Drosophila melanogaster: one gene and its partners. The protein of the gene in region 1 interacts with the protein of each later gene in a pairwise test. Each region holds a gene or a part of one and is shown on either strand. Other genes may lie near its edges. The genes, in order: CG14855, smal and CG9757.

Region 1 (4,619 bases):
TGTTCGGCGGTCCGCTCTCCTCCGCTGCCACGCACGTACTGCCACTGGCAGTAGCTAGCGCTGTTGGTCCGCTCTGCTCGGCGAACGCCTCCATCGAATAGTTGAATAGTTAAGAGCGCCTTGTGAAAGCGGCTGCGGTAAACTAATATTGGAGTTAAATAGTCGAATCGACTCTTGGTGTTTCCTCTCCGCAGCTGATAAGTCTCCGGATTCAAGTGAGCGAACTGAACTGCTCGATTCGATCATAACTTATATGTTGTGATTTAATTATTGGGGTTGATAAGCGTCTTTGTTGCTCCCATATCATCGCTGTAATCGGCAGTCTTCTATTCAAAATATACAACTATGTTGCTGTTTATTTATGCAGACAGTTTTGTTGATGCTAAAGACTTTACACCCAGCTAACAATGTCATGTGGCTATTCAGAGCATTTCAATACCAATTTAGAGCTGAGAAATACATTTAAATACAATGTCTATAATTTTTGACTGCATATCGGGTTATGCAAAGTGCGGGGCATTTCGTAGCTAAGAATTTTAAGCTGCTATGCAAATTAATCAACGATTTACTTTTTATTACTTCTATTTCATATATAACAACAGCACTTACTGCTAAACCGGCTTATTAATCAGAGTGTCCTCCTCAACAATCGTGGGACCCATTTCCACCTCTGATTTACTGCCTTCCCTCCTAAACATATGACGAAGAAAATCAAATATGCCTTCTCCACGACCGAACTCTTCTCCTTCGGCCAAGGACATTGGAAGTTTCTTATTGCGAGTCTCTGGCAGCAGCAGGCACACATAGGCTCCGGATAGGAAGAGAAGACCCAAAATGATTGACGGAGCTGGCTTGTAGTAGGTGCCCAGGTGAAGAATGTACGGAGAAAGGAAGGAGGCGGCAAATCCAGCCACATGCACCACGGCCACGCCCCTTCCCCGCACGCTGGTGGGGATTAGTTCCGTGGAGAACTGGGAACTGGCGCCATCGGCAATGGAAACTCCAAATCTGGCCGCCATTGTTAGACCCACCAGCAGCAGTACATTTCGATTGCTTCCTTGCGATATCACCAGACCAGCAGCGACGGCAAATATTCCTGTTATGGCCATCCAACCGACCGCGGTGGCCTTGCGACCCATCCGATCCTGGAGCAAACCCTGTAGATAACCCGAGGGTGGCAGAGTCAGCGCATTTAGGGAAAACATGATGAAAGGCGAAATGCCGAGACCCTCAACATTGCGAGCGATGGTGTTGTAGCAGGGAACGATGATTATACTGCAGATATAAAATAAAGTAAATAAATAAATAAAATAACTCTTTGAATATATTTCATTTAGTACTTACAATATGAGCAGCAGCTTAAATGCCGTACTGCGCATGCGCGGCGTTTTCAGCATGTCCAGCAACTTTGCGTGCTCCTCCTGGTTCTTATCTTTGCGATAGTGCTGCTCGCAGTAGATGCGAAAATCCTTGAAGTCTTTGTCGGCCACCTGGCGGCGATTGATCTTGGCCACGCGCTCCAATCGCCTAATGGCTCCATCAACATCGTTTCGCGTGACCAGCCATTGGGCGCTCTCCTGGACGAGGAAGTAGAACAGAGTAACCAGCAGCAGAGGAACCGAGGAGCACGCCAGGAAAATGCGCCAGTGGCCCACCCAGACAGCTAGCCAGCAGGCTCCGATCAGGCCAAGACAATAAAAGCTGCCCAAAACTGTATTGAGACCCACATTTCTCAAAGAGGGTGAAACGTATTCGAGAACTGTCCAGAAAGACCCAATTGAACTAGTCATTGCGTTATGAACTCCATGCAATTACTTACTCAGTATGTACATGAGATAGGAGTTGGCATCAGCCGCCAATCCAGATATAAAACGGCTGATCGAAAAAGAAGTTAGGCTCCCAGCGAATATGGTTGAGAAATCGCCCAAGAAGCCACACCAGTTGGCCAAAATCAAAGCCCTAATGCGTCCTATTCGATCACCAAGCAGACCAAAAGCCAGAGTTCCGCACACCGAACCCACAAAGAAAAGCGACTGACCCACTCGTGCTTTATATGCCTCATCGCAGACCCAGTTTAGCTGAAACACAATAACAACCAAAGCTAACATAGTTTTTCCAAAACGGAAAATTATAATCACGCACTTACCTCTGTATTCATACTTTTGTACCCAAAGTCGTACTTATAGATCCACCGATTGCAGCGCTCCCTACTGAGCGTGTGGTTCTGCCCATCCTCATCGATCTTCTCCAGTCGCGTGCAAGAGGGCTTCTCGAATTGAGAGTATATCTTTTCGATTTCAGCGAAACTGCGATTCTCCAGCTGCTCGTGATAGCACCAATGATCGGGCACAAAACTGATGACGTTTTGTGAGAAATAGTGCATCGAAACGACGACCATTAGGTAGCCATAGAGCGCCAGCAGTACAAACTGATAACGACTGCTGTTGCCGCACTTGGCCAGAATCTCCTCGAAATCCATGCTGTCGTTATCAGATTTTAGCGGTCCCCAATTGTAGCGGCTTTCGCAGTGCTATGATAAACGCATATCTGAGAAATCCGACATTTATGGAGGCGTTTGGGGAGTCAACTAATCGCCAGCGGGTTCTCAATATCGGTTTATTAGTCCCAAGCCAAACGCTTTCAAGGGTCCGGGGTTACTGAACGCAGGCGAAACCCGTTCCGGATTTGTATGTTCCGCTGACAGGGAGCGCACATAGCCAACTGGTTGAGCCTGAGACTCAGTCTCGAGTACCAACTGCTCCACTGGGGCGGCAATAAGAGAGCGGTGCTTACACGAGAGCCCAATATACCTTTCTCCGAACTCTTTAACGCTCTTATTCAATTATGCGAAATTTGAAAAATGACACTCGGTCACGTTTCGCTTGAAAAAGGCGGCTTGAAATTTTGCACTGCATTTACAAAATTTGAATATCAATTAACTTCAATTTATGCCACTTGGCCATTGAAAAGCAGCCCAGCAGTCTGAGGGTTAACTTGGATTGATTTTGATTGATATATATGTAAGTGTGTCAAAGTAAAAGTATGTCTCGCCATTATATGTTGATTGAAAATATTAAAAGATAGCTAAAAAATGTATATACATAGTCGCAAAACTTACCGCAGTAATCCAACGGATTTAATAAAAAATCAAGCACTCATGTATTTTTTATAATTTTTATTTTAGTGTTTTTTTTTTTCATTTATGTGTTTATCAATTACATTTGCTGTTGAAATGGATACATGTCTACATTTGCTGCCTTTTGAATATATTATTATTAGCTTTAATATGAATCATAAATGTTGGTTTCCCTCACTTCTATGTCTGTTGGTTTTATAAATGTAGTAAACGCAGTTTCGTGATAACATGATAGATAGAGCCTATTACAATTGCCTTTCGACTTAAATAGAATACATACATAATAAGATAGTATACCAAACTGTACATACATACATTAGATGCGATGTGTTAACTAAATTTGATTAACAACTAAACTACTTAGCCGGCCTAGTACGAGTCAATTAAATGTAGTTTTGAGTAAATAGGCAATGGTGCAGGATAACTAACTTACGACTCCTTACAAAGATGCACACGCTCTAAATAATATTTTACATACAAAGTAGTGGGTAAGGCATACATATTATATGCTATTAATAAATAGTCGAAGAAACAATTTACGTAAAGACTAAAGCCCTGAATGGTTAATGGAGAAAACAAACATTACGTTCAATACAATTCAGTCACAATTCATTTCAGTTACAATCGATAATTTCAGGGCCGTTGGATAGTTAAACCAAATATATTTAAATCAACATTATACACATCACGTAACACTAAACTACAGCTACATACACATATTTATCCATTTTCTTTCGATAATTACAAAACAACGTGTGAAATGGGGGTTTGAAACTAAGGACTAGTTTAGATATGATAGTTGATAGTTAAACACCTGCACCCGGGAATCACTTAAACACACTCAATGCTATCATAGAAAATCTCTTCATCTGGATCTGGTTCCGATAGCTCCTCCTCAAAATCATCAACATCGTAGGAAATCAAGGACTGCATGCTGTCATCCAGCAGCTTGTGCTGCACATGATGCACCTCAAACAGTTTCTCGTCCTTCTTATCCCTGGGCGGAGTACCAAACCAGATGGCATCCACCTCGTCTGCACACCCATCACCACCATAATCAGGATCAACGCCATCGCACCGATCATCATCCTCCGGGGCTGCAGGATTAGCTCTGGCCTCCATGGAGTCACAGTAGCCATAGTCGAAAGTGACCAGGAGATTGGCACTGCCACAATCCATGGAATCGGGCGTGGTATATTCGGTGTAGTACGAATCGTAGGCCGTCTCCTCGGACACATCGTGCAGCTCATGGGGCAGATATCGTTCCATTTGAATCTTTCCCTGGCTGCTGCTGCTCGTTTGCCATAGTTGCCAATTTTGGTTATTGAGACGGAAATTTGGCTTTTCAACGGTGTTGGCCAAATTCTAAGCATCATTTTCGGGAGAATTCGGGTAAGAGCAAAGAAAAACAGAATAGAATATCAATTCTTTGGTACAATGGGTAATCAGGTAATGAGGATTAGAAATTAGAACGCAAACAGAA
Region 2 (4,776 bases), on another chromosome or scaffold:
TCACAAGTACTAGACAACGGCGTCAGTAATTATTTTACAAGTTAACACAAGAACGCCAGTGTATAAAAACTAAAAAAAAAAACCAACACTGGCCATAAAAACCCAGCCAAACGAAACTAACAAACAAAAATGCGGAGTGGCAGCCACGAATTAGTGCTCCTGGCGGCATTTATACCCCTGCAATCGAAGAAAATGTGGCACCTGTGCGCCGTCTTGGCATCTGTGCCTCCAGTTTTCCCCCGTATCTGTATCTGTATCTGTGTACTTGTATCTGTATCTCACGGAATGGTGGCTATGTCTTTTGTGCGCCGCCTTCGGTTGGCGAGCCAAACAAATAAACTTGCGGCCAAGTTATGACAGTCGAGGGCCGCAGGAAACATTATTCTTAGTTAGATGCTAATTAATTAGGGGACGCGGAGGAGTTGGAGTCTCCGCCAGCAATTCGGTGGCAGCCATGTGGGCAGCGACACGATCTCGTCGAACCAGCGGCAAAAAAAAAGCCCGAAATGCACACGAGAATGACACTTCTTGGGTATAAATTTTGTTGACTGTTGTGTTTGCCAGCCCCTGAAAAATGACCTGGGGGATGCGATGTGTACAGAATGAGGTTAAATGGAAGTTGAATTCGTTGAAGAAGACACTAATATAAATTGCCGCACGTCGGTGGAATTTTACTTATTTAAAGAAGAAATATACCTTGGCATTTCAAATTAAACTTAAATAGTTCAAATGCGACTAGCTGGCTGTTATATTGCCATCGGATTTAATGGTCTAATTAGACATTTTATTATTTATTTTTGACATTGCATGAATGGGCTTTGTTTAGATTTTAATGAAAACAAAGTTTAATCAATGCTGTTTAAATGGATCCTTATTAAAATTGCAGAAGAACATGGTAAATATTGTTGCCCCATTTCCATCGTAATCCCAGCTGACAAAAGAAAATATTTTCCCCCCAAAAATTGAGATACACATTTTCATTTCGTTGGTAGATGGTTGCAGGTAAATGAAAGAGATGTGTGTTTATGTACAAAATAAATTCATAATAATTCCCATGAATTTCCAAGCTGCACACTTTGTATATTTATAAATATAGTTTTATACACCTTTTTTAATTCCACAAACATATTTCACATTTTATTCAACGCAACGTTTGAATGAATAACGTATTTTTCGGATTCAGTGGCAATGAAATAAAACTAGCGATTATTGCATTTCATAATTTCATTGCTAATCAATTTTATCACTTTGCTGTCTTAGTATTTTAGTTAGATTTGAATAAAATATTGAATACAACCTGTTAATGGTAGCTATGTGGATGCATCTATGAACTTCGGTGCTTTAAATTCTTTCACGCACATCGAATTATGGGTTTTAGGCGCAGTTTAAAGCAGATTGGGCAAATCTGCGGCAAATCTGTTGTTCATTGGAGGCATACTCAAACGTCTCATTACCATAATATAGCCAACTCAATTCCGCCTGGGCCCACCAACTTTTTCTACAATGGCAATAAAGAGTTCCCCTCGCAATCGACCACGAAAAGTTTTTTCAGCGGTATTATCATAATGATTGCGCCCCAAACGGCGCTTGGGGCAGATTGAGGGACTCGCCCGCCTGCTGCCAACTTGTTTACACAAATTTTAATTGGTGTAATTATGATTTTTACACGAAATTAATTATGCATGCGCGATTGCGGCTGCATCTTCGCAGCTCGCGGTAATCGCTACCCATCGGATGCCCAATCTCAATCTTAAATTTCTAAACCATCCCAAGTGAGCAAGAAAAATAACTCGAGTTATTTACAAAAGCTGATGATTGCGGGGGGAAAAAGCGAAAGCGAGGTCTCTGGAACTTTAATTGCCAAACATACTTCTACTTAATTACCCCGCAGAACAGCGGGAAAATTATGAAATCCAGGGGCCTCGTTGCGCGTCTAGCGGAGTGTGAAGTTGCCAAAGACTCGAGGTTGAGGTTGTACTGCGGAATATCTAGATACATAACTGCATCTGCGAGATAAGAATCTGTGTGCAACAGCCGTCGGAGGCACAAAGTGTTCGGAGAAAGATCTTTCTTTAGGAGATAAGGGCAGTATCTTAGCGTTTTACGACCTGCCGCCGCTTTTCTTCTTCGCTTCTTATTTATAAAATACAGCAGGTTAGTTTGATTAGCCCCAGATGTTGACAGCTTGGCTCTTTCTTAATTTGTGTTTAATTAATGAGGCAAGGGGACAGCCACCGTAAGAAATGGGGAGAACGGGTTGGAAATGATATCTTTTGATCTCTGGAATGCGCCTTGATGAGATACATTTGATTGGGCCAATATTCTTCTGGTTTCTTTTCGGATAAATGAATTATTTAGTTAGTAATTGACATAAACTTGTTTTTGTCGCACTAATTGATTGTTTGCAACTCAATATTTATTTATGCATTGCAAAGTCTCTATGGGGAAATCCTGTTTATTGACATGATTGCTTTGAGCATTGAGCACTGATTGTTTTCAAGTTAGGCCTTTCTTCACTCTCAACTCACCTAAATATTCCAAGAGTTTTGAATTAGCCTTTGCGTTGACTTAAGGTGTATATTGATTGTATTCCGTTTGCACTTTAGTTTGTAGCAAAAAACAACGATTTCTCTACTAAAATTTCAAGCACTGTTGTTCACTGGGGCAGCAAAAGATACTCTATCTGCTGGTTTGTTTCGATATGTTTGAGCACTCCGTGGGCATTTTCTCAGGTAGCACATTTCACACACTTTGCCGCACGCTGCTGGCGGCCGCAGGTGCACAATTGCCGCATCTTGGGTGCCACTTGCACCGTATCTTATTCCTGACCAATTCGTATCTCTGCACTCGCGCTGCGCGGATTGCGTATCCGTATCTGTCGGATCTCTTGGCGATTGGCTGCCAGCCGATTAAGCCTGAGATGGGTAACTGCGTTGATTCGCGACCGCGTTGCCAGTGGCCAAGGCGTTCTGTTCTTCTTGTCACGAGAGCTGGATTGAGACTGGGGGCACAAACTGAGACTGAGACGGCGGACTGCGACAGCGACTGCGACTCTTGTAACGCGCGGCACGAAGGTCGACGAGCGATTGAATCCGATTGAATGTAACGTGCAGCGCACCACTCCGTTGCATGTAAGTGTGGATGCTAAGAGAGCGAGCGCTTCTCTTTTGTGGACTCTGTTCGCTCGTCGGTGGAACTGTTTACAAAGTTTATGTGTGGAGAGCGCTGTAAAGGACCTGCAAGGATTTATATTATCAAATTAACATTTAAATCATAATTTGGAGTTGTTTCTATGTTTTTGTTTCCTTAAAACTTATCATTTAAGCTACAGTATAGTTTATATTGTATATGCTGCGCTAAAAACTAAGTTTTTCAATTCTCAGTAAAATTATCCACAATGGAGTTGAATTTACCTGCCCAGGCCCAGGCACTTCACCTGTGCTCTGTGAAAATCGCCGAGAAACTCCAAATCCGATAGAGTTTTTCCGCTCTCTTCCGGCTCGTATAAGAGATTTCCGTCTGCGGCGAATGTGGAACAAAACAAGAGCGAATTCGAACTGTTGATTTGTTTTTACCCTCCCCGACTTTTCCTTTCGCTCGCTTTTTCCGGCGAATCCGCCTTGCAGTCCAAATTGGAAATGGCGGACCGCCGCCAATCGCGGCCTCTGATGAATTTCCAATGATTGACGCCGGCATTAAGCCGAAATCGCACATACAACTTGTCATAATTTCCAGCAGAGAAATGCGATCTTGTCACATTGGTGCACCATATCATATGGACATGTATGATTTACGAACTCTACGGTTTTCGTGGGGCATGGGGATTTATAGCTACGCACTTGTAGATTGTATCGCAGAGGTTGTGGGTTGATTGATTGGTCTCACCAGTTGATCCGACCCTTTGTTCTTCGCCACTTTCGAATGTTTGACTCGGTGACACAATTTCGAGGGGCCCACAACGAATTCCTCGAGTGGATCGCCGCTAATCAACTGATATCGCTCCGGGCCAGATCGCCTATCGAAAAGCGAACAGCGTTTGGAAAGGCGTTATCTGGAAACCGTAACCAATTTGTATCATATATGGTGACTGTTTATGAAAGCAGTACTTCTTCTGTCTCTTTGTCTGTTTTCTTAGTTAAAAAAAAAAAACATGTTTTTTGTCTTCTATTTTATGATTACAGACACCCAGAAAGCTATGAATTGGATATTAATTTAAAAATATATACAAATATTCTGCAAGATTAATGTAAATGTTATTGACAGGACAACTCCAGCAAATCAAACATTCTGTCTTGTAGTCAATTTAACTTTGTACGTAGTTTTATTCGATAGACTCTTTGCATGTTCCTATCAATTGGCCATTTGTCACATCCGAGTGTACAAACAAACAGCAGACAGCAGAAGCATTGCCAACTTCCAACCATAACTCATACCCATTCCGGCCAAAGCCGTTGGGCATGCGCTGTCTGTCAAACGGCTTGTTCGCCTGCCCGGCAGTCAAAGAAATCAGCGGACGAGCGGATGAGCGGCGGCCAAATGGTTATGATCAGGAATTTACACAAAAATGCATTCAGCGCTGCTAATAGATATACAAAATACATACATAGATAGAACAAGCAAATGTTGCGTTATCACGAGTAAATATTTACATAGCCTTCAAGGACTCTGTGAATACATCAACCCCATGCTGCGATACTGGCATAGTATCTTTTGCCACATTTGTTTATTGTCCCAGACCTTTCCCACTCCATAAAGTATTTATAGATACTGACATTC
Region 3 (3,409 bases), 1.2 Mb from region 1:
CTTAAGCTGTTAAATTCCTTAAACCCCAACTATGCAAAGTCATTAAATCGCTGGGAAAAAAAAGGGAAAAGTCCACTTTTAACAAAGTTCCCAAAGTATACCGTGAAAGTGTAGACTAACAAAGCCTTTTACAAGACTGCGTTCTAGTAACAAGAAATTTTTCACGAGCCAGAAAAAATGAAAAGAGGGTGATGGGGCAACGAGAAAAAAACGAAAACTTTTATCAATGTTGGCGTATGACCCTTGTATGAGTGGGTGGGCTTTTGGAATGGTTGGGTTGGTTGGCTTCACTTTGCGCAGAGGTCAAGGGATAACAAAAGGCGTAAATTTAAAGCCAAGTTAATTTTTTAACAATAAAAGGGGCGCTTGTCAAAAGAGAAATTTTACAGCAAGCGTTTAATCTTAAACGACTTTTGCCATCCAACGCGATTGGCAAGTTAGATAGCAAACGCCAGTGGCAGCAGCCGAAGCAAAGTTTCTTCAATGGACTGCTTTGTTATAAGTAGGAAAAAGCAAACAAACCGTGAACGAACGAATTAAATGCTGATTTACAGTCCAAGAAAAAAAATTTTCAAATTTATCTTCATTTTTATACGTATACTTGTACTGTGAAAGACTGGAAGTTTGAAGGCTCCAAAGTTTAAATACTGTGGCATACTTTTAATCAGCTTCTTAATTTAGCATTGATTGCTTCAAGTCATCCTGTTTCTTTTCGTATCCACATTCATTTTTTTTCCTAGTGCATTCACAAACAACATTTAACCCTGAAGACCAATGCCAATCACTGAAAGCCATGCAAATGACAAGGAAATTAAGTGAATCAAAGAAGAGGGGCAAATGTATTTCGAACTTAATTAGAGCGTGCTTGATTGCACTTTGATTTCAAAGTCTATTTCTAGCGTTTTATGCTTAGTCAGTCACAGATGATTGCTGCTTGGTTTCTAGCCTCCAAATCCGCCACCGAAGCCACCGCCTGGTCCTCCGAAGCCGCCTCCCGGACCGCCAAAGCCGCCACCTGGACGTCCACCAAAGCCACCGCCTCCGAAGCCGCCTTGACCTCCGAATCCGCCGCCTTGACCTCCGAATCCACCGCCTGGACCTCCGAATCCGCCGCCTTGACCTCCGAATCCGCCGCCTGGACCTCCGAAACCGCCTCCCGGACCGCCAAAGCCGCCGCCAAACTGACGTGCTTGGCGTGCTGCCACCGGAGCCTGGACACCTGCATCCACATCCAGAAGTTGCGCCGCCACAGGATCATATGTGGCTGCTGATGAGCCGGCGACCAGGAGAATGGTCGCCAGGGCAAGGCAAACAAATGTGCGCATTTTCGAGGAAACTTCTGCTACTAATCACCGGCAAAGTTTCGATGGATTCTACGAAGTCTCTGCTCTGCGGCCGGTCAATTTATATGATTCGGAACTTATCGACTGGCAATGGGGGAGCGAATAAAAGTAGAAGTGGTTCGACTGGGCGCGGAACATCAAAGTTGTGAGTGTTACGCCAGAACTGAAATGTATACAACGAGCAGAGCGATTCGTATTAACTGTCTGGCTAAGCGCTATGAGCAACAACAATAAAGCTGCTCCATAATAATAACCAAAACCTATTAGGCAACAGAAACGGAGGCAAACTTTTTGGCAAACACCCCACCAAATGTATAGACGAAGGGGGAAAGTCTGAAGTGGCCAGCCGGTTCAGGATGGGCTTTCTCCGGACGACTATTCAAATGCGCAAAACATTCAAGTTTCTTTGGCTCGCACAACAAAACAGATCGATAGACAAGTGGCCAAGCCAAGTGTAGATGGGAAGCATCATCTCAAGTGGGCCTCTCCATTCATCTTTCGTCTGTCGGATTTCGTAAGGCTTTTCAATGCGGGAAGTTCGGGGATTTTGTTTTGTTTGTTTGACTTAATTAAAATCTAAGGGTAAACAGTCGACGCAACTGGTTGTTATTCAAATGTCATCAATGTTGTCGGTTTCATTTTTGGCCAACGCACTGACTCATTTCGGTTATTAGCTTGCTCAGTGGTTAGCACATTTTAAGATCTGGTTCGGTCATTGTTAATCAAGATTTAGCACTTCATTTATAAGTATGGAATATTCAATACTATTTACAAAACAAAGGAACTCTGCCGTAATTAACTATACAAGTGTACGTAATAGTACAAGTGTGCGTGTTATAAATAAAAACCTAGATTTAATAGGTTTATAAGCGGAGAAATCCTAATTTATGAAATTCTCAGAAATACTAATAATTAATAATAATACTTAGTAAACAAAATCAAAAGCCAGTTTGTTGTTGATCTTCAAAACCCATTTTAGGCAGACTCGTTATCTTACATAACAAAAAATGGCGAAACATGTTTTATATTTAAAGCAGAAGAAACCATCAGCTTATTATATTTATTTTCTTATTTTTAATTACTTTATTGGCTGGAAATATTTTGAAATGCTTAGAAAACATTAATTCACCTGACCTGACCTAATATAATAAATGTAAACCAACAATTTGTATCACTTTCTGGAGAAATAAAAACCGAGATACGAAAACTTTTTATTCAATTATGCACTCAAAGTGTCTGTTAAAATAAATCTGCTACGTCTGAAACTTGTATATTAAACTGATTTGCTGTCTGACCTGTCATCCGTCAATTGCCGACCATCAGTTGAGTTCAGTTCAGTTCAACGGGGATAAGGTAAAATGTAGAAAATGACAAGACTGCCTACGTTTTTCACAACATTATAGCCATCCTTCTGCGACGAGGCAAAACTTTGTGTTGAACTTTTAAAGAAGTAACAAACAAAATGCAAGCAAGAAAATATTAAAAACTTTTAAGGGGGACTCGCATTAAAAAAGATTCGCCTTGCTTAAGCAGGTAAAAAACATCTAAATTGAATGGCACGTGATTTAATGTTTATTAGCACTTTTTAGTTTGCCAACATTTTTCATATCAACTAATTATAATGTCATCGTTATCACCATCAAAAAACTATTCAGCTTTCCAAACTAATATCACTTATTTATACCGTTTGAGACGTATTTTCAAGTTTTCATTCAAGGTCGTGTAATTTTTCTATAACGCACATTAAAAAGCTACAACATTTAAACAACCATGAACCTGGTCTACCTATAATTTATGGAATTTTATGGCCAAAAACCTGAACACCTGGCCAATGTAAATCAGTAATTCTACTAATCGTCTTCTGTGAAGTTGGTAGAAGGTAGAATTTTGAGGGTTAAATGTTTGCCTGGCCTTTCTGAAAGTTTTCTGCTGCCTTTTTCTACTTCCACTGATTATGACAGTCATAGTCAAAATACTTTTTCGCTGCGCCGTCGGTGGTCGAGTAAAAAGTGTATTTTTAATTTATACCGCGTCTGAAATTTCCTTTTTTCTATCTCTCATTGAGT

Evidence for each region.
Region 2: the proteins of CG14855 (region 1) and smal interact in a two-hybrid assay, tested with the Drosophila melanogaster proteins (one large-scale study listed by BioGRID).
Region 3: the proteins of CG14855 (region 1) and CG9757 interact in a two-hybrid assay, tested with the Drosophila melanogaster proteins (one large-scale study listed by BioGRID).

Annotation. Positions count from the first base shown.
Region 1 is NT_033777.3:14,794,411-14,799,029, reverse strand, and holds CG14855 (uncharacterized protein), read right to left. Parts: upstream 2,726-4,619; 5' UTR 2,480-2,725; coding exon 2,147-2,479; intron 2,079-2,146; coding exon 1,820-2,078; intron 1,760-1,819; coding exon 1,345-1,759; intron 1,276-1,344; coding exon 612-1,275; 3' UTR 556-611; downstream 1-555. Other genes in the region: jvl (javelin-like), read right to left, coding at 3,968-4,501.
Region 2 is NT_033779.5:6,177,452-6,182,227, reverse strand, and holds the start of smal (smoke alarm), read right to left. Parts: upstream 3,096-4,776; 5' UTR 2,529-3,095; intron 1-2,528.
Region 3 is NT_033777.3:13,611,053-13,614,461, forward strand, and holds CG9757 (uncharacterized protein), read right to left. Parts: upstream 1,382-3,409; 5' UTR 1,326-1,381; coding exon 942-1,325; 3' UTR 531-941; downstream 1-530.